Rattus norvegicus: one gene and its partners. The protein of the gene in region 1 purifies or fractionates together with the protein of each later gene. This does not show direct contact. Links are inferred from orthologs where the notes say so. Each region holds a gene or a part of one and is shown in the gene's direction. Other genes may lie near its edges. The genes, in order: Serbp1, Tsr1, Larp7, Rbm42, Vcp, Dnm1l and Hnrnpu.

Region 1 (3,500 bases):
CCCCGCCTCTTGGGGGTCCTAGAATTTATATATCTTCTGAAAAGTACCTAGAATTCCAAATGTCAAAATTGTATAAACTGTTTGCAGCCGCTGCTGTGTTCAATCTGAAGTAGTCATACCAGGGATCAAAACAAAAACATTCCCATAATCTCTGTGTTTTTTCAAAGAAATCAAAACTCTAAAATTGTCATATTTTATTACTTCTATGCTGAGACATGTAGCTTATATATAAAGATCTTAATTTTGTAACACCTTATTATCAAAGTCTTCAGTGGATTAATTTATAGTTCGAAGAGTCTCTAATGTAAAGTTTGTACTGTTTGACTTGAACTTAGGGTAATTTAGGTGGAGGAACAGTGAAGGATGAGTAATCCTTGTCTAAAATGCTTGAAACCAAATATGTTTCATATTGAGGAATATTTGCACAGAGCACCATGATTTAAAAATCATGGTGAACAAAAAATTTAGTATTTTGAGGTAGGTAGGTTCAGCCTATGTAATTGCATATGTAAACAATGAAGCTTAAAGTTGTGTACATTCATCCTTGGGTAGGAGGTTCTAGTTTTGAAGAATATAGATTTAAAAAAAAACAAACCTCAGATTAATCTCAAATAGAAACTGCATGCCTCATATTGGAGTCCCAATTTGAAGGAACTGTTTTAAATGTTACAAATACTGCTGAAGATTCAGGACTAGAGTAGGAACTTGTCACTTGCATTATATGCCAGTATTCAAGGGCAGGTATCACCTGGAATTCAGAGATATTTGTTAAAGATGGTTACTACCTGAGTCCCAAATGAACTTACTACTTGTTGAGCTAGATAGTAGTTATGTTCATGCACACAGAGTACAGGATTGATGACTTGTCTTCTAAGGGGAGAAAGCATGGTTAAAAATTCATTACCCAGGGGGCTTTACTTAACATTTTAGGCTCATGCGGAAGATTCAGTTATGGACCATCATTTCCGGAAGCCAGCAAATGATATAACGTCTCAACTGGAGATCAATTTTGGAGACCTAGGCCGCCCAGGACGTGGTGGCAGAGGAGGACGTGGTGGACGTGGGCGTGGTGGTCGTCCTAATCGTGGCAGCAGGACTGATAAGGTGATTTTAAGATGCCTTTTCTGTTTTAAGCAGTTTAAGATTTGTAAGAGATTACTGACTAGATATTTTGGAGGAAGGGGCATAAACAGAAATAAAGAATTAACAAGAAACACCATTTGAGACAAGGTTTCACTGTGGAGGTTTAGCAGGCCTGGAACTCACTATATAGACCAGGCTATTTTTAAACTCACATCTGCCTGCCTCTGCCTGTAGAGCCCTGGGTTTAAAGCCATGCACCACCACATCTGGCCTTATGTATGCGTCTTTTTCTTTTTTTTTTTAAGTACCTTAATGATTAGAGTAGTGCTACCAATAAGTTGAATATACTATTGAATTCTTACTCTCTACCTGTCAGGATGCTGTTATACTTTGAATTCTTACTCTCTACCTGTCAGGATGCTGTTATACTTTTTACATGCAGGTGTTAATTTTACTTTAGGGATATCCTCACTGCTGAGTAAATCCAGGTATAGAACAATTTTAGGATTGCAGAAGTTCCTGAGACACTAGTCTATGCCATGATTTAAGAATGGGATTCATGCCAGGTGGTGGTGGCATATGCTCTTAGTATAGGCAGATCTCTGAAAGTTCAATAACAGCCTGGTCTACAAGATAAGTTCTAGACAGCCTGGACTACACAGAAAGATTCTGTCTTAAAAAAAAAACAAAAACGTGGAATTCAATATTTTTGTTCATGGGTGCTCTGTCAGGCTGTTCCCAAACCTGTGGTCAGGCTTCATCCTCCCAAAGTTTGACTATTTGCTTACCATGCCCACTCTAAAATAAGTTCTCAGTGAGAATTTTGAAAGATACCCAAGGGGTTGTTTTTTAATTCAAAATTGCCTATTGACAGTATTAAGAATAATCTTAGTGTCCAGTTGGAATAAACCACAGAACCCTGAAATCTTACTTTTATTTGGGGGGCTTTTTTGTTTCTGAAACTGTGTCTCATTTTACAACCAGTCTGTCCTGGAATCCATTCTGTAGGCCAGGCTGGCCTTTGCCTCCCAAGTTTTGGGTTTAAAGACCCACACCACAACACCTGGTTCAGTAATTGTTTTTCTCTGTTTTGTGTTTTTTAAGTAGCCCTACCTTCCTAATGCTGCAGACCTTTAATACTTATGTTGTGAGCACTCAACCATAAGATTTTTCTTGCTGATTCATAACTATTTTTGCCGAACTGTTGTGAATTGTAATGTGGATCTCCAGTATTTAACCCCCGTGAAAAGTTCATTACACAAACACAATCACAAAGGGGTTATGACCCACAGGTTGAGACCACCACCCTACCTGCTTTAGAGGCTGCATATAGTGGTGTGGTAGCAATGCAATGGGTTTTGTGATCCGTGATACTTTTTCCTGACTCTTTTTTTAAAGATGAAGGTTTCATATATATGAGGATTTTTCTTTTTTCTTTTTTTTTCCCCGGAGCTGAGGACAGAACCTAGGGCCTTACGCTTGCTAGGCAAGCACTCTACCACTGAGCTAAATCCCCGAAGAGGATTTTTCAATAACTTGTTTTTCCCCTCAGGTTGTAATTGGATTCTTTTCTCACATTGAATGTGCTATTTAGATAATTGCACAATGATTAAGCCTGCTTTTATATTGATAATACTATTATGTTGCAAAGTGAAAAGTATAAAATTAGTAAAGTGAGAACCCACATGTTCCATGAGAATTTACTTATATGAAATCATAAGTATGCTTGACGTGGTAGCACATAACCATAATCCCAGTACTTGGAGATGGGTCAGATCATGAATTTGACCGTGGCCTGTGCTACAAATGGCAAACTCTTGTCTGAAGAGGGTGGGAAGGAAGGGAATATGTAACTCTGGTAAACACATAACCCAGCATGTACAACAAGCCCTGCATATGATCCCTAGCATGTCAGATAAATTAGAATATTTCATTGAAGAGTCTCTTTGCAAGTATATGTAGTTTTATTCTGGTTTATAATTTTGTTTTTAAAGTAGAAGCTTTGATCTATTTTGTATGGTGTCTTAACATTATACTATGTATGGACATTAGTGGGCTATTTTCAAGATTTGAAAATTGTGGCTAATCTTCTGTTTTTGTTTTTTCCCTCCCCAGTCAAGTGCTTCTGCTCCTGATGTAGATGACCCAGAGGCATTCCCCGCTCTGGCCTAACTGGATGCCATAATACAACACTGGTTCCTTTGTGGACCCTCCTGTTCAAAGCTTTTGCATGCTTAAGGATCCCAAACAACTAAGAATTAAAAAAAAAAAAAAAAGACTGTCATTCATACCATTCACACCTAAAGACTGAATTTTATCTGTTTTGAAAACGAACTTCTCTAGCTACACAGAAGTAACAAATATGTTAGTCAGTTTTGTATTTAGAAATGTATTGGTAGCAGGGATGTTTTCATAAT
Region 2 (4,292 bases), on another chromosome or scaffold:
TACCCCTCCCCCGACCGAGATCTCCCCGCGTTGCTGCCGTCACAGGGCGGGGAGCGGGAGAACGGCGGAGCAAACAAGCCCCAGGGCGCAAGCCTGACCCTGGCCGAGGGCGCTGCCAGGGACGCAGAGAGGGACGTGGGGCGCGGCCCTAACAGGACCCCGCCCCCGCCTGGCACGGTGGGCTGGCGGCCGCGCGCGTGGGTGCCACGAACTCTCTGCTCGAGGGCCAGCCCAGGGAGGGGTGCGAGCCCCTGAGACCTTGCCCCGACCGTACCTCCTTTTTCACGTTCCACAGCAGCTTTTCTTTGACTGCGTCCTCTGCGCTGCCCATGGTGCGGCAGGTGGCGGGCAGGCGGCACCAAGCGGCCCCCGAAGCCCCCGTGCGCCCTCACCGCCTCCGCACCTCCCGACTCAGCGCCCCACACGCGAGGCGGAGCCCCCGCCCGCTGCACTCCCCGCCTGCAGCCGCCGCAGCCACTGCCCGGTGCTCAGCTCCGCAGCCATCTTCCGAGCCCCGCAGACGTCAGGCAGCAGGCCCGGCCCCTTCCCACAGCCGGCAGGGAGGGGGTGTGTGCGCTGCGACTGGGGGGGGGGGTCAGGGCGGGTGCGGACGCCTGGGGGCGTCGGGCCCGGGCGCGCGCCGCAGGGATGGTTGTCATGGCGACCGGCCCGCTCCCGCCCCGAGGGCGCGAACCCGCATTGTGAGCGCTGGGAGTCAGCCTCTCGCCACTGCACAAGCGGGCAGACTTTGAAGAGGTACTTACTTCTGGCCTAACCTAAACCACAGTAACCGCTCCCTACTCCTGGCCCCTCGGAGAGGCGTTAAGGAGCCAAGGTCTCGGCTCTGGGTCACTGTGGTTCGAACATGATCCTGTCACTCCTCCGGATCCTGTGGCCTGCCAGCAGTTCTTAGTCGCAACGCTTGCAGGAGAAAAGCAAGAACCCGACCACGAGCTACGAAGAGCAGGTGCCCGAGCACAAGAGGAAGCCTTCGCTCTCCTTCGGGTCTCCACGTCCGGTTTTTGTTCATCTTGCAGAATTGTTGGGAGAGAGGGGCACGAGTCGGAGTAAGAGACAGAACGGAGCCGGTGACACGAGTCCCTTCTAAGTGACTCGCGTTGGGAATTAGAGTCATAGAGGAAAGAAAAGGATACCCAGTTACACGTTTTATTCCTTTATACAATTCATTGGGACCGGAGAGAGCGGCGTGGAAAATCTACTTTTATTTCTTCCCATGTGATGTAACTTTAGGGTGCAAAGGTGGGAAGATGAGAGCAAAGTAGATTTTTCTAATCAAGAGACGAAGCCGGGAGATTACTACCGGCGTCTTTCAGCTCTCAGCAGACGACTGCAGCGTGGGAAAAGTTACCACGACGTGTCCGCAGAGACTCAGTACCCCGCGCTCGCAGGCTGGCGAAAAAAACCTCGCGAGAGGTCACGGGAGCGTAAAGACAAGTCCCTCTCGCGGGCCGGAAACGCTCGGGTCAGCCCGGAAGTAGTGTTTACTCGGTGCACGTGGGCAGTTAGAATGGCGGCTCACCGCTCCGGGCCGCTGAAGCAGCAGAATAAAGCTCATAAAGGCGGGCGGCACCACGGCGGTGGGTCCGCACAACGGGACAGCAAAGGTGCGTAGACAGAGGAGGGAGAAGGGCTGCTTAGTCGATACCCGTGCCCGGAGATTAGACTTGGGACTCGTGCCAAAGACTCTTTTTAAGGAGCTTAGGGAAGTTCTTGTCTGTTAATTTAACCGTGAGGAGAACAGCCACTTCTGATCTGCCTTTCAGGTCGTGTAGGACCGAAAATCCTGTGCAAGAAGCTTAAGAAGCAGCTCAGCCGAGTAGACCAGAGGCATCGCGCCAGCCAGCTCCGAAAGCAGAAGAGGGAGGCGGTGAGGAGTGGGGGTTGGGAAGCGGTGAGGCCATGGCTTCAGATTGGTAAAGTCTCAAACTAAAAAAATGTGACACGGAAATGGGCCGAAAACGGGTAAACCCAGGGTACCTTCGGGCCGTGTTCTTAGTACGACGCCCCTCCAAACTCCTTGACAGCACATACATACACGAGGCAAGAGAATGCTTGGTTATCTTCATTTATACGGACTTGCTCTTTTGCAGAGGAGGAGGAGGAAAGGAGGAGGAGAAGGATGATGATGATGATGATGATGATGATGATTTTAAACAAAGGATCTCACTAGGTAGCCCTGGCCGGCTGAGAACTCAGAGATCCTCTCTGTCTTCTGAGTGTCCGGTTTAAAGGCTTGGGCCACCACACCTGGCTGTTCCGATCTTTTCTCATGTTTTACGTTACATAAATTTCCCTTAGTATTTTTACAGAGCAACAGAAAGGAGAGCAGTTGTGCTTTGGGGTTGCAGCATCTGTACTTTTGAAGATGTAATGACTAGTGAAGCAAATGATTGAGATATTCTTGAATCTTTGTGTTCCTAGGTTCTGGCAGAGAAGAGGCAGCTGGGCAGCAAGGATGGGCCTCCACATCAGGTGCTGGTGGTGCCTCTGCACAACAGGATTTGCCTTCCAGAGGCATTTAAACTGCTTCAGAACGAAGACCTGGGAACAGTGTATTTGAATGAACGGGGAAGCACCCATAGTTTTATGCTTCTGAGCCCTAGCTTGAAACATCGGTGGTCTTTCACATATGCAAGACCAGGTTAGGGGATCTAATCCTTTTCTCTTCTTATGTTTAAGTGGTTCTATTTCTTGATTACAATGTGCTAACTATCTTTTTTTTTTACGGTGTCTTTTATATACAGGGGATCTGCATACACTATTAGACATGGCTAAAGTTGCTGATACCATCCTGTTCCTCCTGGACCCATTAGAAGGCTGGGACAGTACTGGGGATTATTGTCTATCTTGCCTCTTTGCTCAGGGCCTTCCCACCTATAGTAAGTGTGTTCTAGTATCAGTGAGACCAGAAAACAAAGTAAATTTTCCTTTCATTTTTTTAAAGATTTATTTATTTATTATAAGTACACTGTCGCTGTCTTCAGACACACCAGAAGAAGGCATCAGATCTCATTACAGATGGTTGTGAGCCACCATGTGGTTGCTGGGATGTGAACTCAGGACCTCTGGAAGAGCAGTCAGTGCATTTAATCCTTTTATCTTTTAACAGCTCTGGTCCTTGAGACGTAATGTTTAACACTTGGTTTAGGAGTAAATCAAGGAGTTGAATTCTGCTGGCCTGGGCTATACTTGTCCAGATTAAACATTATTTTCATATATTTTAGTTTTTGGTGGTGTTTGCTTGTTTGTTTTGGAGACAAAAAGTTCCTCTTATGTAACCCTGACTGTCCTGGAACTGTTCCTGTAGACCAGGCTAACCTTGATCTTACAGAGATTTGCCCCCTACCACCCAATTCCAAGTGTTGGGATTGAAAATGTGCACTGCCACCTAGCTTTTTTTTTTTTTTTTTTTTTTTGGTTCTTTTTTTCGGAGCTGGGGACCGACCCAGGGCCTTGGGCTTCCTAGGTAAGCGCTCTACCACTGAGCTAAATCCCCAGCCCTATTTTCATATTATTAAAGAGAACTTTTAATTTCTGGGCTGTCCTGTGCCCAGGAAAGGACTAGGAAGTTAACACTCATTGTGACGTTTCTTTGGCTGTTGGGAGGTTTATGAAGAACTGGAGAGGGATCTTCAAGCAGTGGAGCACTAAGCTCCTAAGTTCTTCTCTCTTCTTTCAGTGCTAGCTGTCCAGGGACTTCCTAGTCTCCCACCAAAGAGACAAACGGATGCCAGAAAGAAGCTAAATAAAACAGTGGAGAAACGCTTTCCTGAAGACAAACTCCTGCTGCTGGACACCCAGCAAGAATCAGGAATGTTACTCAGACAGTTGGCTAACCAGAAGCAAAGGCATCTTGCTTTTCGGGATCGGCGAGCTTACTTGTTTGCCCATGATGCTGACTTCATGCCTAGTGAGGAGAGTGACTTAGTGGGCACCTTGAAAATCTCAGGCTACATTCGAGGGAGGACTCTGAATGTAAATAGTTTGCTGCATATTGTTGGACATGGTGATTTCCAAATGAATCAAATAGACGCGCCTGTGGATCCTTTCCCTTTAAATCCTAGAGTGGTTAAATCCCAAAAGAAACCAAGCATGTCAATGGAGGTAAGATTGGTGTTTCCATTTCTGGGAGTCTAACTCACTTGGCTACATTCCTTGCCTGAGATTGTTTTTAATTTTTTTACTGAATTTATTTTTGTGTGCTGGAGAGGGGTATATTACGAGTGTGGAAGGCCTTGTGGGGCCACCCTGCTTTTTAAATTTCAGAGCAT
Region 3 (3,500 bases), on another chromosome or scaffold:
TTCCAGTGTGTGCTCAACAGAGTTGCAGATTAGCAGCAGTGACGGCCTTGGTCCTCATGCCGCCCAGGGAGTAAGCAGGAGCCACCACACTCAAACCTGGAAGCACTTATTTTAAAGGCACAGCGAGGGCCTCCATGTTAAAGTGAAGGAGGCCCCTTACGCAGACTCCAGTGAGGTTCTTAAAGGCGTGAGGATAAAGGAAAACTTACCATCACCCAAACATGGAAGCACTTACTTTCTTCGTTCCAAAGCAAGGACAACCACGTTTAAGTGGTGGGAAGCCCAGTCTTTATACTTACGAAGTTGCCAGGCTCTTGACTGCAGCATTTTAAAGAGAATGGTGAAGAGTTTGAAGACACCCCCACTGAAACATGGAGGCAGGTAATCCCATGTTAAAGCAGAGGGGACTCCCACCAGACGCCAAGGTGTTCACTCCTCCAGGGAACCTTGAGTTCACTTCTACTAAAACATGGCAGCACTTACTCTTCAATGTGACAGAAAGCATTCCCATGTTAAAGTGGAAGGGAGCCCGCCCGCCCGGCAGCTTCTTAGAGGAGCGCTGGCTCGGAGCCGTGAAGGGACCAGGCTGCAGACTCACCTTACCTTGGTGACCTGCTTCCTCGCTCTCCTCGGAGGGTGGAAGACGGCGACTTTAGACCTGGTATTTATACGACTCCCAGCTCCTGCAGTCCTTGGGCTTTCTATGTGGAGAATCGGTTCAGGGCCTTTGTTATTTTAATGTATCAGCTCCCAGGGAAAGTAGATCCTGGGGCTCCAGGGTAGGTCTGGGTTTTTTTTCTTCCCCTTTTTTGAAGTAAACAGATGTCAATGTTAACTGTTAAAACCATTACCACAAGATATCCTCCTCTTTAAAAAAAATCCCCTATCTGCCTGTTTGATGGCACAGATTAGGGTAACAATGAGCACCCCCACAGAGCCCGGGAGGCTTTGTGCTTCTCTGGGGGAGCCCTGGCTGCCTGAAGACACATCTACATGTTAAATGTATGTAAATAAATAAACTGCTGTCACGGGCTGTTTTTTTCTTCTCAGAAATTCCTTTTGAATTAAGTAAATCCTAAGGAATGTTATCTCTCAAATTGGAAGCAATTTGAGAAATCTTTGAATCTCAGTCTCTTACCTTTTCCGCAAGTTGCCTGATTTAGTAATTGTTACTTCAGGGAAGTGACTCAAAAGTGATTTTACAATTGAATATTAGAAACAACTAGGAAACTCCTCAAGCATTTTCCTTGAGTATTAAGGAAGAGAAACTTCCTTTGTGTGTTTGCAAGATAGATTTATGGCTTAACAAATGATGTAAATGTGTGCCTTAAAAAAGGAAAGTGGGAAAGACTTGGAGTTACTGTGAGCATTATGTCTAGTCAACCTCAGGTTTCTGACTGGGTCGTCTTGTCACTATAGTAGTTCAATTTTTGTTTTACAGGACTGAATGGATGGATTTGAAAAAAGAGTATTTGGCACTGCAAAAAGCTAGCATGGCTTCTCTAAAAAAAACAATATCTCAAATAAAATTGGAGTCGGAAATGGAGACAGAGTCCAAAGCGCCTCGTAAGTCTGCAGTGGGGACTGAAAGGGTGAAGCTCATGCAGTGTCATTTGGCTATTTACACCAAAGAGCAGGCTTTAGTCTATAAATGTTTTCAAGGGTGGCTTCATAGCAGTGATAGAGTGCTTCCCCAGTTTAAGCTGAACCATTACCAAAGAAATTTTTTAAGAAAAGACAAAAATGTGAAGGTTTATATTACCGAGTAAGTTTTAACAGCCTGCCTACTCTTTCCCTACATCCCCTGTGAGCTCACTCCAGAGTGCCTAGAGGGAGGAAGAGCGACTGCAGGTCTACTGGGCGATGTGCACCAAGTGGGAACATATTAAAGCATATTCTCACTTGCTGTAGTATTGGTAAAGATGTTAAGTTCTTATAAATTATACAAATACAAATTCTCGCATTTGAGTAGTGTGCTTTGATTATTCTTATGTTTATATTGGCATATATCTATTCAACTTTTAGTCTTTGGTTTAGATGTATAATGCGTTTTATTCCATATTGATTCCAATGAGCAATGTGATTCCTTAATACTAATTTCCAGTTGCACGAGTTCTCAGTTCCTTAAGTTAGCCTGAGAAGTCTCTGCTGTTGGAGGATGGTGCTTCTCATGTGAAATGTGAGGGGTGAGGAAGTTACCTGTGCCTCTTTCCTCTCACAGCAGCAGGCAGTGGTCAGCAGTGCTCCACCCAGGAGAAGGTCAGTGCACAGGGCCCGCAGTTCGTGACTGGAGTGATCGTGAAGATCCTGAGCGAAGACCCTCTCCCAGGCAGGAAACAAGTCAAGGTAATACTTATGAACCCCATGTGACATGTTTTCAAAATAGTATGGAAACAAAACAACTCTAGTCAGAATTTGTACCTCTCTGTAAACTGCTAAGAGAGTCCAGGGTAACTCTGACAACTCTTAGCTTTACTCTGAATACCAAAATTCCTCAGGATAGAAGCCTGAACGCCTGCCTTTCTTGTTTCCCTAATGGTTGGTGACTGTACTTCCGTGGAAAATGATAGTGATTTGACCTTGGAGTTGTTGAGATATGTATTCAGTGTTAAGCCTTGAAGAGCTTTTCATCGATAAAGATATTTGATGGCATGTTTTGTTTGTTGGTTGGCAGGATTTTTCAAGACAGGCTTTCTCTGTATTCCTGGCTGTCCTTGCACTCACTCTGTAGACCAAGCTGTATTTGCCAACCCCAGGTTCTATTAGCTTACATCTGAAAACATGGTAACAATACAGAATGTAGCTTAATAACCTGACAGTAAGCAAATGCTGTGCAAGCATGGAGGCCTGGACTCAGTCCCAAGCACACAAAGGAGAATTTGGTAATGCAACAGTTGAAAGTCCTGTTGTAATTACTTAGTTGTTCTGAAACAAAAACTGAGCTCTGTTGCTGTCACTGATTACCAGATTAATTTGTCATTATATGGGTTTTTAATTAGGATATTAGCCTGACTTTATAATGGATAAATTGTAAATGCCTTTTGAACTGTGGTACTCTAAACTATCTGAAAAACTGATTATAAAACTCTCACCACGAATAGGAAACCCATTACAGTTTCATCAACTCAGTGCAGACTGGTCTCTTGCTGTGTCTTACGTAGTAATGATTAACTGGGTAACAACATTGGAAGGCTCTCAGGTCTCATTCTCTCTCTCTCTCTCTCTCTTTTTTTTTTTCCTTGATTGATGAAGGAAACATTTTTCAGTATGGAAGTTCCTGTCTTACAGAGCATGTGTTAAGGGTGAGCTTCTGTCTTCTAGGCCTGCAGTTCTCTTGTCCGTCACAGTTAAAGGATACACTCTTTTATCCTACAATAGCTAAAGTCTCAATTTTTTTTCTAAAACATTTTAAAAGAATTTGAGTTATTGTGCCTAGAAAATTCTATTCTATACTAAACAGTTTCTTTATTTCTTTAGTTTTAATGAGTGACATTTAACAA
Region 4 (4,003 bases), on another chromosome or scaffold:
GCCTAGCCGTCAATGTGATCAGGGACCTGAGAAGGGTAAATTATAATCTCCTTGGCTTATGTATCAACTAAAATGACAGAGACTAGTCCATAGTCACCTAGACAGTCTTCCCAGGCTCCTGTGGTCTCCAAAAGACTCATGAACAGTCTAACGTCTAACAATGCGTTAAAAAACCCATCAAATTCCAAATGAAGAGCATGCTACAAAATACTTAATCAACACTCCTGAAACATGTGCCTGGTTAGAGAAGCCGGTGGAAATCCAGCAACTAAATGGAACAGGAATGTGGCATCCTGGTCAGATGATGAGACAGAATAGGGGCATTAGGTAACCATAAAAGGAATTAGAGTAACACATGAGTCTTAATTCATGAAAATGTTAGCGGGTTTAGTGGAGCCGTCAGGAAAAAGAGGCAGCAGATCTCTAAGTTCAAGGCCAGCCTGGTGTACATATCAAGTGACAGGCCAGACAATCAAAAACAAATATAATAAAAAATTTTTTTAAAAAAACTTCAATCCTTTCTAGATCTCTCTAGTATAAAATCCAATATTTTTGTTCTGTATCTGTAATCCCAGCACTTGAAAGCCTACGGCAGAAAAAAAAAAAATGCCCGGGCTGGGGATTTAGCTCAGTGGTAGAGCGCTTACCTAGGAAGCGCAAGGCCCTGGGTTCGGTCCCCAGCTCCGAAAAAAAGAACCAAAAAAAAAAAAAAAAAAGAAAAGAAAGCCTACGGCAGGAAGATTTCTAATAGTTCAAAGCAACCTAGGGAGTTTCATGCCTGGGCTCCAAACCAAACCAAACCCCAAAATGAAAAAGAAAATATAGGCAGTCAATAAAATTAAATTTTGTTTTAAAAAAGAATAATGAACTGACCCCTGGCAGTGTATCTGTTAACGGAGGGCAGGAGACCGCTACCCTAACTTGGCGGTGTTTACAAACTTTGGAAGGGCCTCCGAACTTCCGTGCCTCCTCAAAGTTCCGGCTTCCACAGTGGGGTGGGTCAAAGTGACGTTGCTTCGCTCTCATTCGCCTACCTTCCTCTACGAGGGCGTGGCCTGCCCTAACGCTGCGACTGTCAGACGTGAGGCCCTTCCGGGGACCTGTCTTTCCGACACTCTAATTGGCTTGTGCTCGTCCTGGGGGTGTGGCCATGTCTCATTAGCCCCTGTTCTTAAACTACGTCCTCACGCAGCGCATCCGTCGCGGTAATCCACACGTCATCGGCCGGCTCCCACCCTGAGGGGACAGGGACTCGACCGTAGAACCCGCGGCTGCGGCTGAAAAGAGCGGCGAAGGCCATGGCATCAGCGATGGCCGGAGCGGGACCAGCTCCGGGACTCCCGGTGGCGGGAGGGCCCGTGGTCCCGGGGCCTGGTGTCGGCATCCCGGGCAAGAGCGGCGAAGAACGCTTGAAAGAAATGGAGGCGGAGATGGCCCTGTAAGGCCCTGAGTAGGAAAAATAAAAGCTGTCTCCGGGCAAACCCACTCAACCCTGCAGCCTCCAGGTTTTCGGAAGCCTGAGATGTGGTTCCATAAGGGGCGGTGGGACCCGAGGGACGGGGGGAGGCGTTGGTTGGGATGAAGGCGCTGTGGAAAGTACCCAGCGCCTCAGGCTTAGTAAGACTTGACATATGGTATCTGTCCCGCACCCCCAGGTTTGAGCAAGAAGTACTGGGAGCTCCGGTGACCGGAATCCCAACTGCTGTGCCTGCGGTGCCCACAGTGGAGGCGATGCAGGTTCCCCCAGCACCTGTGATCCGCCCAATTATCGCCACCAACACATATCAACAGGTAAGGCGGGAGCTGCAGCTTATGAGTTGGGAGAACACAATGGTTTGATCCCAATAAGGGTCTATCTGAGGAGAGCGATTGACGTTTTGGCTGGCATGACAAATAACTTAAGGGCCAGGGACTCAGAGTACAAGGCAGTACATTTAATCCATTGGAAACTAGGTTCTACAGCATTCTGTCTGATAGAACTTTCTGCAGTGGTAGAATGGTCTGTATAAAGTTTTTACTCACAAATTTGGGATGTAATTCAGTGGTAGAGCACTTAGCCTCTGCAGAGCCCTATTTTTCTAACCCTACCACCACCACAACAACCAAAATAATAGTAAATTGTATATTTGTGTTAAGTCATTCCCAAGCCTCGTTGATAATATTCTGGGTGCTTAACAGTCAGCTGTCAGGAAGAAGCTGTGGAAAGAAGGAAAGAGGGAGGAACTATTTAAATGAACACCAGCAGAAGAAACTTGTTAATTCTGTTCACAGTTATTAGGTGGGCTGGGATGCAGCTCAGTGGCAGATCTCATGCCTGGCATGCCAAAGCCATAGGTTCAATCCCTTGTATTGGGGGCAGGGGGGGTTCAAAAGCAGGTCTTGAGTGCCTTCTCTGCACTAGGCACTGTTTTAACTAGAGGGTGTATAGGAGAAAACAATACAGAGAAGTTCTTGATTTTTTTTGGCCTTACAAAGTGGTAAGGAGGGCAGAGTTATTAGCAGTCAGGGAAGGCCTTTTTGGTTTGGCATTAGTAAAGCAAGGATATAAATGAGATGGTGAAACCATGCAGATATCTGGAGTGATGTTATCCCCGGCAAAAAGCCATCCGTACCAAGACTGAGACAAAGTGGTCGTCTTGTTCATGCACCAGCAGAGAGGAGAGAACAAAAGGGAACACGGAGAAGACTAAGACAGTAATAGAAGCTAGATCTAGCAGGGTCTTCTGAGCCCCTTAAAGACTCTTAGCTTTCACTTTGAAAATGAGGAACTGCTAGAGAATTCTAAGTCGATAGGTGGTAATGGTTCACCTTACAGGTTAAGCAAGTGGCTTTCGCTATCCGGATAATATACTAGAGAGGGCAAGGGTGAGTTCAAGGAGATCGAAGAGTTTAATAATCTAGGTAAGGCATAGGTGGAAAACAGGGAGGACAAGTCAGCATCAGTTGAGATAGTGTGGGGTCTGCAGCCTCGCCCTGAACATACCTGCTCTCAGAAATGACAGGGACCAGGTTCTTGGATTGGAGATTAGGACTATAGGAAAACTGAGTCAGAGACATTGATCCTGGGAGCTATTCATCGTAATAGCTTAAGCTGTTAAGCGGTGGTGGAGCATGCCTTTAATCCCAGCACTTGGAAGGCAGAGTCAGGTGAATCTTTGTGAGTCTGAGGCCAGCATGGTCTACAGATGGAGTTACACGACAGCCAGGGCTACACAGAGAAAGCCTGTCTTGAAAGACCAACAAAACCAACACAAACAGCTTTACTTAGTGTGGCTCCAGACACCCCAGTGAGGAGGCCTTGTAGCTGACCATGACTGCTCACCAGCCACATAGAACAAAGGGTAAAAGTATTAGCCCGCCACGGGAGCCAGCATCTCTGAGCCAGGACTCCTTCTCCCCAATAGGTCCAACAGACCCTGGAGGCCCGGGCAGCTGCTGCAGCCACAGTAGTTCCTCCCATGGTGGGAGGCCCTCCTTTTGTGGGCCCAGGTAAGTAAGAAAATGAGGGGCCCTGTTTCAGGCAGAGTGGTAAAAAGGGGTGCCCAGAGGTTGCCTTCCACCATCCTCATCTCTTCCTCCCCACAGTTGGCTTTGGCCCTGCTGATCGAAGTCACCTGGACAGTCCTGAGGCTCGAGAGGCCATGTTCCTGAGGCGAGCAGGTAGGTTGGGGACCGCGACCGCACTTTTGGCCACTCGTTTAGGTTTAGAAACTCTGGCTCTGCCCTGCTGTAGATCCCTTTCTCCATCCTGAAACTTTGTATAGTACATCCCTGACCATGTCCTTCTGTACTGTCTCGAGTCACTGCACTCAGTCCGATCCTCTGGGATCTAGTCTAGCACTGCACTTGTCATTACAGATCTTGACAAGGCTCTCAACTTGTGGCACCTTCCAGCAAGCTCTTCAGTTTGCTTACTATGCTTGTCATCTTTTCCTCCCTCTGACAAGCAAGCTTTGTCACATAGTAAACATGACATACAACCACTGAGGGGGGACAGACCCTG
Region 5 (4,268 bases), on another chromosome or scaffold:
TTGACTATAATGAAAGCCAGTTAATTGTCTTTTGGGGCACAGGGACCTTAAATCACAGCACATGGTTGATCTTTCTTGCTCTTGGGCACTACTACGTTTGCTATGTGTTCTGCAGTTGTCCTTGACTTTCTTGAACCTCAGTGCGCTCCCTCTCCAGATAATATTTATACTCTGTGTTAAGGAGTACAGACTCCCAAACCCTGAGGAATCACAAAGCCTGCATCATTAGAAGAGAGTGCAATGGCAATCGAGTGGATTAAGAGCTGGGGTGCTGATTCAGAACTCTAGGGTTCAGAGAGGAGGGGGTGGGGTGGAGCTAGGAGTCTCCATTTTCTTTTTTTCTTTCTTCCTTACTTCCCTCCCTTCCTCCCTTTCTTCCTTCCTTCCTTCCCTCCCTCCCTCCCTTCCTTCCTTCCTTCCTTCCTTCCTTCCTTCCTTCCTTCCTTCCTTCCTTCCTCCCTCCCTTCCTTCCTCCCTTCCTTCCTTCCTTCCGTTCTTTTTTGTAGACCAGAGTCCAGCTATGCAGCATTAGCTGGCTTCAAACTGTCAATCTCCTGCCTTTAGCCTCTGGAGTACTGAGATCTAGGGTGTACACCACCATACCCACTTGTTTTTGCTTGTTTTAAAATTTTATTTACTTAGTTTTGAGTATCATTTGGCTGGCTGGAACTCTTTTTTATAGGCCAGGCTGACTTAAAACTCACAGAGAGCCGCCTGCCTCCGAAGTGCTGACATTAAATGCATGTACTACCACACTGCTTTTAAAATTTATTGAGATACTGTTTGAGACTAGAATTATAGCTATGTGCCATTACGCCGACATGGTTTTGTTTTTCAGAAAAGGTCTTGTATCCTGGGTTGATCTCCATCTAATAGTCCTCCTGCCTCAGCTTCCCAATTGCTAAAAATACAGACCTAGCCCATCCACCACGCCCTTCGTTGGAGCCAGTGTTTTAAAGGAGCACGAAGGATTTTAGTATGGTGGAGTAAGAGGATCCCTAGGATTGGCGAGAAATGAACTATGTGGATTATTATTACAACTCAGCTAAACTAATAAGGGTTCAAGCCTTTGTGCGAGGTTCTCCCAGCTGCTTATAAACTAAGGAGCCAATCAATTGGAGCCAAGTAGAGGAAACCTCCTTCGGAGGGATAAAGACTCTCCTTTTACCAGAGGATCTGGCCTATTGCTTTTGTCGATTGGTCAAGACTCCCTATGCGTCGAGGAAGCGTAGTGCTACGGCCAATTGACGTGGCGTTACTAGGCGTGTTGCAGCCTTGAGGCGGGGCTAGGCCACAAACGAATTTTCTGATTGGTTATCGTCTGTGGGTTGCTGGGGAGAGGCACGGAGAGGCGGGCACGAGTCCTAAGGCAGTCGCTGATTGGTTGAGGTTAGAGCAGCTTTCCTTCCGATGATTCGGCTTTTCTCGGTTCAGTCTCCGTGAAGCGTTTGCAGCCGTCGTTTGATTAGTCGCCTCTCGCGGATTAGGAGCTAGCGTCTCCCGCCCGCCTGCCGCCCCGGTGCCGCTGGGAGGAAGCGAGAGGGAGGCTGCCTGTGGGTTTGTCACTGCTGTTGCTCCTCCACCTGAGTGAGTCAAGCCCGGGCCTAGTCGGTCGCCTACCATTCTCGTAGCCGTTACCCTCAGGCCGCCACAGCCGCCGACCGGGAGAGGCGCGCGCCATGGCCTCTGGAGCCGAGTAAGTGTATGCGCGTGCCCGCCCGCCGGCTGCGGGGGCGCGCACCGTGGGACCTGCCGTGCTGGGTAGGCCCGGTCGGGCCGCGTCTGAAAGTCTAGGCCGGGAGAGAGAGAGAGACGGAAGGAGAGGCAAGGGGCGAGTGAGGGCCTCGGGCCGGGCTGTGCACCCGCGCGCCCCCTAGGTCGGGCCCGCGCTGGGCCTGGGTCGGAGCCTGGACAAGATGGTGCTGTGTCATGCAGGCCCCGGCGGCCTGAGTACCTCCCTCGGCACGCCGGCCCCGGCCTAGTTAGGCCTTAGGGTCCACACTCCCCGCATGGAGCCCTTTGGCGCTAGGACGCCGGTCGGCCATTTCGCCGACCATATACAGAAGACCCCGAGCCTGAGAAGAGAAAACACTGCGAGCCTGAGGCCCGGACTGGGCCCAGTGGGCGTGGACTTTGGGCCACGTGAAGGCCTCAGGAGCCCCAAGACTCAAGGGAAGGCTGGGCCGGAAGACCTGGGGGAAGCCCAGGCTGGTCTTGGTGGATCTGGGACGGTGTTGCCCGAAGTTGGCATGTTTTGAACCACATGTAGAGAGAGGGCAGGTCATGCCTTTCTCAAATGGCAGTTTTTCACCTTGTTAGGCCTGTTGTAAACACCCGGAAGTTTTACCTAGTTTTATTGTTGTTGTTGTTATTGTTGTTTTGCTTTGTGTATTTATCTTTGTTTTTGCTATGATCGGAAGTGGCTAGAAAGGAGGTGTTTTTCTTTTATTTTGAGGTGCTGAAGTTAGAATTCGGTTGTTTTTCTTGTTTTGTTTTGTTTGTTCTTGGCTTGGAGAACTTGCAGGTTAGAGTTGGCTTATCTCTTCAAAAGAAATACATCTCTCTCCCCAAGCATCTATGCTGACTCTCTGGACATTATGGCCCCACCTTCATCTTTCAGAAAGCATCAAATAAAATTTAGCCGTCTCAGCCCATTTAGTTAGAAACTAGAGCTTCCCATACAAAAACAAAGCAAAACCAAATAGCAAGTGTAGGGAACTATAAGATCCCGCTGTTTCGAGTGGTTTAGGTTTCATTTCCTTCGGATGAAGTATTCACTCAGTTATTTGGTTAAAAGAACTATTAATATTTTAAATAGCTAGGGTGGGTGGTATTTTGTACACCTTTAATCTCAGCACTTGAAAGAAAGGCAGAGGAGCACGTTACTAGACTAGCTACTCTGGGAGTCTACGCATTCAGGCCCTGTCTCAAAAAACAACAAAATAGACTTTTAAAATACTGTCAGTATTTCAATTGTTGTTTTTTTTTTTTTTAAGTTAAATTTTTTTTGTTTGTTTGTTTGTTTTTTGAGACAGGGTTTCTCTGTGTAACCCCTGGCTGTCCTGGAACTCACTCTGTAGACCAGCCTGTCCTTAAACTCAGGGAAGTCTTTCTGCCTCTGTCTCTCAAGTGTTGGGACCAAAGGTGTGAGCCTCCACTGCCCTGTGGTTTGTTTTTTCTTTTTTGAGATCAGGGAATAATGTAGGCCAAATTGACTTCAAACTCAGCCTTGTGTTTGAACTCCTGTCTTGCTGTCACTACCTCCCATAAAATGGGATAATAGGAATGTCACAGTATGTTCCACTTAAATCTAGATTTTTGTTTGTTTGTTTGTTTTAAAATTAGAATTCCTAAAATCTGGCATCGTGGGCAGTTTGTATCTTTAGGTCATCTTGCTGATTCTTACCTGAATTTCCAAGTTCCTTTTGTGGTCCTTGAGTTCTGGAAAGAACCTGAGTCATGCAGATGATGGGAGGAGAACATACAGAGCTGTAGTTGCTCCTCAGCTCTTTTGGAGTTACTGACTCTAATCTCCACAGGATTTTGGAGAATTACAGGACTTTAAGGGCCAGGGTCTGGACAGGTATGTAGATTGGAGGTTCTCCTGAAAGGCACTTTTGAGAATAAAATACAAAGTGATCACTTGAGGTACTCCTGTAAATCAAGCAAGAAGATGAGCAGCCTCTTGGACAAGATATTTTCATAGATAAGAGGCAGTAGAAAATTTGGTGGGTTTACACACATTTATTTTTGGAATCAACAGCATTGTGGCCAAAGTGACATAACTTTTGAAGGAGACAAGAGCTAAGGAAACTCCCATTACTCTAAAGTAATGGTTAGAGATGTAACAACATTGCTGAGTGTGGTGGTGCATGTCTGTGGTTCTAATAGAGACCGGAGGATCACTGCAAGTTCAAGGTCATCTTGGTTTTACATAGCAGGCAGAACTATATATAGCAAGACCCTTTTTTAAATAAGTGAGGGTAAGGTATTTCTTGTGGCACTGCTTTTTTTGTTTGATTTTGCTGTCTCATCTCGCCCCTAGAAGAATGCTTTGTAGACATCCATTTATCATCACTACTATTCTTGAAACAGTCTTGCTATGCAGTTTAGGCTGGCTTGGAGCCTTTTGCCAATTACTGAGATAACAGGCATGGACCATACTATGTCTGGATTTCATTAATTTGTTGAAGAAATAGTTTTTCCCCTTCATTTGCTTTTTCCTTTGTTAGACCTCTGTTTCAGTTAATATTCATGCTTCTCAAACC
Region 6 (4,197 bases), on another chromosome or scaffold:
AACATTGATGTGTGTTTTATTTTTCCCACTATAGTAAGAAGGCAGTTTTTTCTCTTAGAAGGTTGTGAGAGTAACAGTGGGTTCTCTCACTGGATCAGAGTATGCTGTGCTCGTTACATTTCACATTTTAGGAAGCTTGGTAATGCGATAGTCGGGTCAGTCTATGGTGTAGTCTTTCTTCTATTAAAGGTCTACTTTAACTGTTGACTCTCAAGGACAGTCAGAACTATAGTGAACTGGTTTAGAACTGTGTAGAACCATAAGCTCCAGGACTGTAAGGTCAGAGGTCAGTGTTAAGTGTTGAAGATTATTTTGATGAGATGAAACCAAGGGCAAGTTCTGTTTCTTGTGTGTGCATTTAATTTAGTGTTTAGGCATGGTGAAAGATAAAAAATTTTGGAAAGTAATGAATAAAAAGTAATTAAATAGGACCTGAGTTTGGCTATTGGCTTACAGACAGCTTCAAACAGAATCTCTCAAGTTTCTAGTGACAAATGCCACCATTATTTCTGGACTTCATTATCTGTTTGGATAAATTCCATATAGGAAGCAGAGAAAATTGGTTCTAGATTGCCACCAAAGAAAGTGAACTTCTTTTGTTGTTAAATATACAGAGTATAGGTTTGGAACATGTGTTTTCAGGTTGCATCTGCAGGTGGTGGAATTGGAGATGGTGGTCGAATTGGAGATGGTGGTCAGGAACCGACAACAGGCAACTGGAGAGGAATGCTGAAAACTTCAAAAGCTGAAGAATTACTTGCTGAAGAAAAATCAAAACCAATTCCAATTATGCCAGCAAGTCCACAAAAAGGCCATGCTGTCAATTTGCTAGATGTGGTAAGCCACCACAATTCTGTTTAAATTTACAAGTGTACCAAGTTAACAGCAGATATTCTCTAAACAGAAGAAATTAAATTCACCAAAATCTTTAACTTTTAATGTTGCCATTTCAAAATAGCATAGAAGTAATATTTTTACCTCTTTTAGCCAGTTCCAGTTGCACGAAAACTGTCTGCCCGAGAACAGCGAGATTGTGAGGTTATTGAAAGACTCATCAAATCATATTTTCTAATTGTCAGAAAGAATATTCAAGACAGGTTAGTATTATTTAATATGTAAATACTGTTGGGTGAGTTCTTGATGTTTAAAAAATCATACATTAAAATCTTTAGATTCCCTTTGACTCTAAATATTAATGTTAACTGCGATTGCAAGATGACATGGAATTAGAATATTATATATCGGCTGAATAAAATTAAAAGTCAAGGATGTAGGAATGCAGTGTCCATAATCACAGGTCAGGAAGATTGAGCCTCAAGCAGAATGATCACAGATATACATACAAACTCTCACTACACCCATCGCAAAACAAAACCAAAATCAAAGAGTAGCAGTGTGGGTCCACTGAGTAGTACACAGTGGTTTAGTCTAGTATTCATGAAGCCCTGGATTCAATCCCCACAGTACTCTGAAAAACATTCTTATGTTCTAGTAGCCTACATGGTTTACATTTTATTACCTTACTTAAAGTAAAGTACAGCCTTTGTCATTAATAACTTCCTGTCCGGTTGCCTCTAAGGTGCCTGTGAATTAGCCAATCAGACATTTCATGCTAGTGGGAACACAATAACATGTGACCTTTTGTCTGGCTTTTGTCACTTGTGAGTGTCCCTCCCCTTTTAAAGAAATATTTGAGAATTCTTTGTATTTTGATTCTTTTCATGCTCCCTCCTGGAACTCTTCCTAGATCTCTGCCCTTTCTTAGCCAAATTTGTGTTTGTTTTTTCCTTCCTCAATCAAGGCCAATTTGTGCTGCTTGATATTACTAGTGTGTAGCCTTCTACTAGAGCTTGGCTGAGCTCTTAGCAGCTTCGCTTTGACCCTCTCCCAGCAGCTGAGAATTGCCAATCGCTCCTCTGCTGGGGATGAGACTTTGTATTCCATACCCCTCTCTACTCATGCTGAGTTGTGGTCTGGTTTAGGCTTGCACCAGTCTTGTGCATGCTGTCACAAGTGCTGAGTTCATATGTGCAGCTGCGCTACTGTGTCCAGAAATGTTTCCTTGTCATCCACCACCTCTTCTGCAATGGTCCTTGATTCTTGGGAGGAGATATAGGTACTCTACTTAGGATGGACTGTTGTATGTCTTATTCTCTGCATCTTGGCCACTGTGGATCTGTTAATCACTATAAGCAACGATTTCTCAGATGAAGGTTGAGAGATGTATAATTGATGGCTATAACAATAGGTCGTTAGGAACTGTTTGAATGCTTTGTCCATTAAGTATAATAATAGTGGTAGGTTCTCTTCTGGCTGGGGTCTCTTTGATCTGTCTAGCCAAAAGTTTGTGGCCCAGTAATGATGCCAGGTATGGGATTTATCTTGTAGATCAGGCCTTAAATCTCAGCTACTTGTCAGTGTGTTTTAAAGCTTGTTCATACAGCCTGAATCCTTTTTACAATTGACTTCCTTTCTACAATTGACTGAAATACTGTATTATAGACCATATTTTGTATATCTACTCATTACTCAGAATATTTTATTATTTCAGTTTGGGCTATTGAGAGTAATGATCATTGTTGTGTATATATGGGATATGGATGATTGAAGTTAAAATATCAAGCATTGTGACTTTGCTTACTGATTCATTAAATGAATACTTGAAGAGTATCTATTTTACTGAGTATATTAAATATTCAGTGTTCTTATTTAACTTCATTACAAAGCCATACTCTAGTTAAAGTCTAAATCAATGGTTCTTAACTTTCTTGCGACATAGTTCTTTATGTTGTGGTGACAGGAGCCATAAAATTACTTTGTTGCTACTTATTAACTGTAATGTTGCTAGTTATGAATAATAATGTAAATATCTAATATACAGAATATATGATATGCAACCCCTGTGAAAGGGTCATTTAATTTCCAAAGGCATTGCAACTCACATGTTGAGAACCACTGAGCTAAATTTTGGAAAATAGAATTGTTACCAAAAGTTCATGATTTGACCTTGCTTTGCAGCGTCCCAAAGGCAGTAATGCATTTTTTGGTTAATCATGTGAAAGATACTCTTCAGAGTGAATTAGTAGGGCAGCTGTATAAGTCATCCTTATTAGATGACCTTCTGACTGAATCCGAGGACATGGCACAGCGAAGAAAAGAAGCGGCTGACATGCTGAAGGTGACTATGAAAGTTCTCATCTGTCGTCTCCCTGTGATGTGCACATACACGTGCAAATGAAACTGTTCTCGATCTGTCTCCCTGTAATGTGCACATACACGTGCAAGATATTAAAGTTACACTCTGACCTTGTCCCCTTCACACTCATATTTGATTAGATTAAAATTTCAGAAAAGATACTGCTCTTTTTTTTTAATTTCTTTTTTTAAGCATTGAAAATGGAGACATTTCTTATAAAATTCAGATTAACATTCTAACTTGAGTTTTTATTTCTTTTAATGCAGGCATTACAAGGAGCCAGTCAAATTATTGCTGAAATCCGAGAGACTCATCTTTGGTGAACAGAACTGTTTGGTCTTCTACACTTTGCTGACTTGAACCTACTAGCTACTGCCTACCTGAGTAGAAATTTATTTATGGACTTTTGTGTATCGCAGTGTATGAATTTGCTTGTGTGAAGACTGGCTATAAGCTGAAAAGTATATTATTCATTACAAGACAAATCACATGTTTAATTCACATTTTTCAAGTTTCCTATGATGTATATCAAGTCTGTCCGTTTCAGTCAAACTTACAAGAACAATTGATGTTCTAGTTGTACAAAGCAGTTTGCCTGTGCATATGATGACCTGCGTAACCTTTTTTTAGTCTTAAAGCTGCAGCCGTAGTCCTCAAAGAGGAAGCTCCAGGACATTTCATGACTATAATGCATGCACTATTTATATAGACTGACCTGGCTTCAAAAGGTGGAGCCTGGCGAGTTCCTCACATAATCAATGTATCCACCTATCCTTCATTTTTATAGTCTTAAAAAACAAACAAAATTCTGAAACTTCTGCAGTTTTAGGAAAAATATAAGATCTGAAAGACTCATAAAGATGTAGGAACAGACTGTGTAATTAATGGCTCCTGAGTCTATACTGCCCTAATGTTAGAAAGTAAAATATGCTTTGATTCAAAATAAGCCTGAAAATATAAATTGACTTCCTGCATTAAAAATAACTATTAGGAACTTTCTT
Region 7 (3,986 bases), on another chromosome or scaffold:
GGAAGCCCCCGTGTAGAAATAAAATTCTATATGCTTCAAGAACACAACATATTTAATAAGAGAAAAACAGATAGTTTAGTTTTATTCCTATTTTTTGAGATAGGATCTGGTATGTAGCCCAAGGTAGCCTAGAATTTACTAAGTAGCCCTGGCTTTTAACTCTTGATATGTCTGCCTCATTCTGCCAAGTGATAGGACTACAGGTAATTTTTTTTTTTTTTTAACTAAAACCCAGCCTTTTGTTATTACCAGTTTGTAGGCAACTTAGCAGGTATACAAACATGTTTATAGTGTCTGAAAAAACAGGGAGAAGATCAAAGTGAATAATCTAGCTGGGTGTTGTCCTACTCATCTGTAATTACAGGATCTCAAAACTGGTGGACTAGATCTGCAGGGACAGACTGTCCTGCAAGAGGCCTGTCTTTACAGTAAGTACATAGAGGGGAAACTTCCATGCAAATCTAAGGCTTTCTTAAGGGTCAGTAGTGCACAAGGCCGGCTTTATGCGCTGTGGCGGGCGCACGGAGCAGCACAACAAGCCTCTTTCCCAGACTTTGCACCGCTGGTTGGGGAAGAGACAAAAGAAAGGCTCTGGCCTCGCCCTTGCGGAACGTAAAATAAGTCCGACTGGCAAGGCACGACTAGTAAAATTTAAACCGCAATTAAGTGGAGGAAAAACTAAACAACAAAAAACCTCTGCATAACAATCGCCTACATGTGTTCTACAGAGAAGCAGTGGAAACTTGAAGGTTTTAAACCTAGAGCCGGAGGGACAGACCCAAAAAACAAAACAAAACAAAAAAAAAACCCCAAAACCTAAACGAAGATGGAAGAAAGGAGGCTGTTCTCGAGTGGGAAATGCAAGGTGAGGACTGAAGGCGGATGGAGGAGAGCGTCCTCCAGGATACAGAAGACAGAGCGCCGATGGAGCGCGGCGACCCAAGAGCCGGAAAGGCCGGCGGCCACTGCGGCGGGTCCGTTAAACCGAAAGGCCGCTTCCAGAGCCTCCATTTGCTCGGCCCGGCCCAGCGCGGAGGTCGCGCCGTGGGGGCGGGGCGGGGCCTGCGCGCGCAGTCGCCCTAGCGGGCCTCGCCTCGGCAGGGGGCGGGGCGCCTATATTACGTGCGCGGCGCCGCCCCTGCGAGAGGACGTTGCGTGCTCGCTCGCGCCAGGCGAGTCTCCGCGTCTTGCCTCGCGAACTCGGTGAAAGGAATTGGCGCCGTTCGACACCAGGCGGGTCCGTTCTGCAGCAGCACTCAGCTATCTCCAGCAGCAGCCGCCGCCCGGGCCGACCAGCAGCCGCCGCCACAGGCCGAGGGAGCCAGCAGTCAGCGGTGAACCCGGGCCCTCACCATGAGTTCTTCGCCTGTTAATGTCAAGAAGCTGAAGGTGTCGGAGCTGAAGGAGGAGCTCAAGAAGCGGCGCCTCTCAGACAAGGGCCTCAAGGCCGATCTCATGGATCGACTCCAGGCCGCGCTGGACAACGAGGCAGGAGGCCGCCCCGCCATGGAGCCCGGGAACGGCAGCCTCGACCTGGGTGGCGATGCGGCCGGGCGCTCGGGAGCAGGCCTAGAGCAGGAGGCCGCGGCCGGCGCCGAAGACGATGAGGAGGAGGAGGGCATTGCCGCTCTGGACGGCGACCAGATGGAGCTGGGCGAGGAGAACGGGGCGGCGGGGGCGGCTGACGCGGGCGCGATGGAGGAGGAGGAGGCGGCGTCGGAAGACGAGAACGGCGACGACCAGGGCTTCCAGGAGGGGGAGGACGAGCTCGGCGACGAAGAGGAGGGCGCGGGCGACGAGAACGGCCACGGGGAGCAGCAGTCCCAACCGCCGGCGGCGGCGCAGCAGGCTTCTCAGCAGCGCGGGCCTGGCAAGGAGGCCGCGGGGAAAAGCAGCGGCCCCACCTCGCTCTTCGCGGTGACGGTGGCGCCGCCAGGGGCGAGGCAGGGCCAACAGCAGGCGGGAGGTAAGAAGGCGGAAGGTGGCGGGTGAGTGTTGCGTTGTGGGTGCGCGCGGCTGTGGGGACCGTGCCCCAGGCCTGCTGGGGCCCCTAGGGGCGAGCGCCGCGGGAGGTGGGGGCGGGGAGCCCCGGGGCCGCGGAGAGGTTCTCGCCATGCCGGCGGCGCCTCCATTATGTATGTCGGGCGCCGGGGGGAGCTGCAGCTGCTGCGGTGGGGGGGGGAGGAGGAGCCGAGGCGGGCAGGAGCGCCGGCCGCTGGGGCGCTGTGTGCGCGCGGTTCGGGCACATGTGGGGGGGGAGGGGAAAAGCCCGAAGGTCCCGGAGCGGGCGGGCTTTGGCGGCTCTGCGCAGCGGTATTGTGCAAGGAGCACAGGGGCTCGGTGTGACGTCACTTCCGGCGGGAGGCGCGGGGAGCGGGGCGGAAGCTCAGTACAATGCGGCGGCGGGGCACGCGGGCTCGGGTGGGGGAGGGGAGGTGGGCCCACGCTACCCCTCCCTCTCGCTTGAGCGCCGCGCACGTGGGCCCGGGCGGTGTCGCGCTTTTTTTTTTTTTAATTTTTTTGAACTATTTTAAAAATGCTTTCTGGAAGGTTGCGGTAGGCTGGCAAAATCCATAACGTCTTTAGACTGCGTCACTGTCTCCAGTCCAATTCCAGACTTTTTTTTCCTTTAAATTCTCATTTGTGGTTTAAAAAGTCACAGAACCAGTCTGAAAAGAAAATCAGTAACAGCTCTTGAGGCTTGAAACAGGAAAAGGTGCTTTCCCCCATTTAGTTTTCAGCCTGGTACTTTAAGGCCGTGTTCTGTGTCGTTATAGGAGACGGCAAAACAGAACAGAAAGCTGGAGATAAAAAGAGAGGTGTTAAAAGACCCCGGGAAGATCATGGCCGAGGATATTTTGAGTACATTGAAGAAAACAAGTACAGCAGGTAGAGAATCCTAACCTAGTTTTCACTTGTCACCCATTCTTTATATGTGGTGGGAAAAGTTTTATCAGGAGACAATTCTGTCTTTCAGAGCCAAGTCTCCTCAGCCACCTGTTGAAGAAGAAGACGAACACTTCGATGACACAGTGGTTTGTCTTGATACTTGTAAGTGAGGCGGACTTTCCCGCTCTTTACTCGTTTTCAAGTGCAGTGTTATTTTTTTGGTTTTAAGTGTTAGGAAAGATGTGTGTTGATCTTAAAGTGCAGAAAACCAGAACTTTGTTTTAAAGCAGGAAGGTAGTGGCTTATGCTAAGGCCATAACCGTTTAATATTAATACCACTTCATTTGTATTGATTTATCAAGCTCTAGTGATTGGTAATAATAGTTTTATGAATTGGAACTTCTCAGTACTTAGGGATGTAAAACTAAATAATTTTCGTTTAGCTACCAGGAACTTGTATTTTAAAAATCTGCCTGTAACTTGTCCTTAGATTATATAGTTTAATCTTTTCTCTTGTGGAACTATATTAAGTGAGCTAAATGGGGGTAGCTGAATACTTACTAATGATCTTCCCATTAGCACACAAGTGTATTCCCTATTCTAAGGATTGTAATATTACCTTTCAATAACTGCTCTTTTGTTCTCAATTCCAGTTCAGTAGCTGCTGCTTTAACATAAGTTGATTTCTTCCAAAGACCTGGGGCAGCAGCAGTGGGCTATCTGAGCCACTAGCTTTCTTCAGCAGCGAATGGTATCAATGGCAGCGCTGTAAATATGCTACTTTACCCAGCTGGGTTGCAATTGAATATGAGGAAGTATTGCAAACCATGAAATGGGCTTTAGCTGTCAGATTTGTATTTTTATCCTTTAAAAAAATTCGACTAGTTTAGTATTTAATAACATCTTTTGTGAGCAGAACAAAAAATACAAATAAGTGTGTAGTTACAGGGCCTCACTTGATGGAAGTTAAGGGTTAAAAGCTTGGGTTCTCATGTTTCCCTGTACAAATCGTGTTCAGAGCCCTGAGAGTTAATTATGTAAAACTTGGCTGGTTTCTAACCACATACCTTTTATAGTCAATTACATCTTGAAAAGAA

Evidence for each region.
Region 2: the proteins of Serbp1 (region 1) and Tsr1 purify together in Homo sapiens (affinity purification with mass spectrometry; 3 studies listed by BioGRID and IntAct, with this or other methods). This does not show direct contact. The link is inferred for Rattus norvegicus from reciprocal best matches to the Homo sapiens genes SERBP1 and TSR1.
Region 3: the proteins of Serbp1 (region 1) and Larp7 purify together in Homo sapiens (affinity purification with mass spectrometry; 3 studies listed by BioGRID). This does not show direct contact. The link is inferred for Rattus norvegicus from reciprocal best matches to the Homo sapiens genes SERBP1 and LARP7.
Region 4: the proteins of Serbp1 (region 1) and Rbm42 purify together in Homo sapiens (affinity purification with mass spectrometry; 3 studies listed by BioGRID and IntAct, with this or other methods). This does not show direct contact. The link is inferred for Rattus norvegicus from reciprocal best matches to the Homo sapiens genes SERBP1 and RBM42.
Region 5: the proteins of Serbp1 (region 1) and Vcp purify together in Homo sapiens (affinity purification with mass spectrometry; 3 studies listed by BioGRID). This does not show direct contact. The link is inferred for Rattus norvegicus from reciprocal best matches to the Homo sapiens genes SERBP1 and VCP.
Region 6: the proteins of Serbp1 (region 1) and Dnm1l purify together in Homo sapiens (affinity purification with mass spectrometry; 3 studies listed by BioGRID and IntAct, with this or other methods). This does not show direct contact. The link is inferred for Rattus norvegicus from reciprocal best matches to the Homo sapiens genes SERBP1 and DNM1L.
Region 7: the proteins of Serbp1 (region 1) and Hnrnpu purify together in Homo sapiens (affinity purification with mass spectrometry; 3 studies listed by BioGRID and IntAct, with this or other methods). This does not show direct contact. The link is inferred for Rattus norvegicus from reciprocal best matches to the Homo sapiens genes SERBP1 and HNRNPU.

Annotation. Positions count from the first base shown.
Region 1 is NC_086022.1:97,744,835-97,748,334, forward strand, and holds the end of Serbp1 (SERPINE1 mRNA-binding protein 1), read left to right. Parts: intron 1-930; coding exon 931-1,104; intron 1,105-1,127; exon of another isoform or gene 1,128-1,452; intron 1,453-1,492; exon of another isoform or gene 1,493-2,987; intron 2,988-3,198; coding exon 3,199-3,255; 3' UTR 3,256-3,359; downstream 3,360-3,500. UniProt on the Homo sapiens protein: Ribosome-binding protein that promotes ribosome hibernation, a process during which ribosomes are stabilized in an inactive state and preserved from proteasomal degradation.
Region 2 is NC_086028.1:60,257,298-60,261,589, forward strand, and holds the start of Tsr1 (pre-rRNA-processing protein TSR1 homolog), read left to right. Parts: upstream 1-1,492; 5' UTR 1,493-1,528; coding exon 1,529-1,625; intron 1,626-1,784; coding exon 1,785-1,888; intron 1,889-2,442; coding exon 2,443-2,662; intron 2,663-2,765; coding exon 2,766-2,900; intron 2,901-3,700; coding exon 3,701-4,125; intron 4,126-4,292. Other genes in the region: Sgsm2 (small G protein signaling modulator 2), read right to left, coding at 275-331. UniProt on the Homo sapiens protein: Required during maturation of the 40S ribosomal subunit in the nucleolus.
Region 3 is NC_086020.1:218,677,309-218,680,808, reverse strand, and holds part of Larp7 (la-related protein 7), read left to right. Parts: intron 1-1,441; coding exon 1,442-1,566; intron 1,567-2,221; coding exon of another isoform or gene 2,222-2,224; coding exon 2,225-2,346; intron 2,347-3,500. UniProt on the Homo sapiens protein: RNA-binding protein that specifically binds distinct small nuclear RNA (snRNAs) and regulates their processing and function.
Region 4 is NC_086019.1:95,033,181-95,037,183, reverse strand, and holds the start of Rbm42 (RNA-binding protein 42), read left to right. Parts: upstream 1-1,203; 5' UTR 1,204-1,298; coding exon 1,299-1,438; intron 1,439-1,655; coding exon 1,656-1,791; intron 1,792-3,404; coding exon 3,405-3,489; intron 3,490-3,585; coding exon 3,586-3,660; intron 3,661-4,003. UniProt on the Homo sapiens protein: Binds (via the RRM domain) to the 3'-untranslated region (UTR) of CDKN1A mRNA.
Region 5 is NC_086023.1:62,022,588-62,026,855, reverse strand, and holds the start of Vcp (transitional endoplasmic reticulum ATPase), read left to right. Parts: upstream 1-1,468; 5' UTR 1,469-1,679; coding exon 1,680-1,696; intron 1,697-4,268. UniProt on the Homo sapiens protein: Necessary for the fragmentation of Golgi stacks during mitosis and for their reassembly after mitosis. Involved in the formation of the transitional endoplasmic reticulum (tER).
Region 6 is NC_086029.1:98,130,397-98,134,593, forward strand, and holds the end of Dnm1l (dynamin-1-like protein), read left to right. Parts: intron 1-642; coding exon 643-837; intron 838-987; coding exon 988-1,097; intron 1,098-3,018; coding exon 3,019-3,178; intron 3,179-3,462; coding exon 3,463-3,519; 3' UTR 3,520-3,697; downstream 3,698-4,197. UniProt on the Homo sapiens protein: Functions in mitochondrial and peroxisomal division.
Region 7 is NC_086031.1:92,615,781-92,619,766, reverse strand, and holds the start of Hnrnpu (heterogeneous nuclear ribonucleoprotein U), read left to right. Parts: upstream 1-1,186; 5' UTR 1,187-1,353; coding exon 1,354-1,966; intron 1,967-2,777; coding exon 2,778-2,889; intron 2,890-2,977; coding exon 2,978-3,051; intron 3,052-3,986. UniProt on the Homo sapiens protein: DNA- and RNA-binding protein involved in several cellular processes such as nuclear chromatin organization, telomere-length regulation, transcription, mRNA alternative splicing and stability, Xist-mediated transcriptional silencing and mitotic cell progression.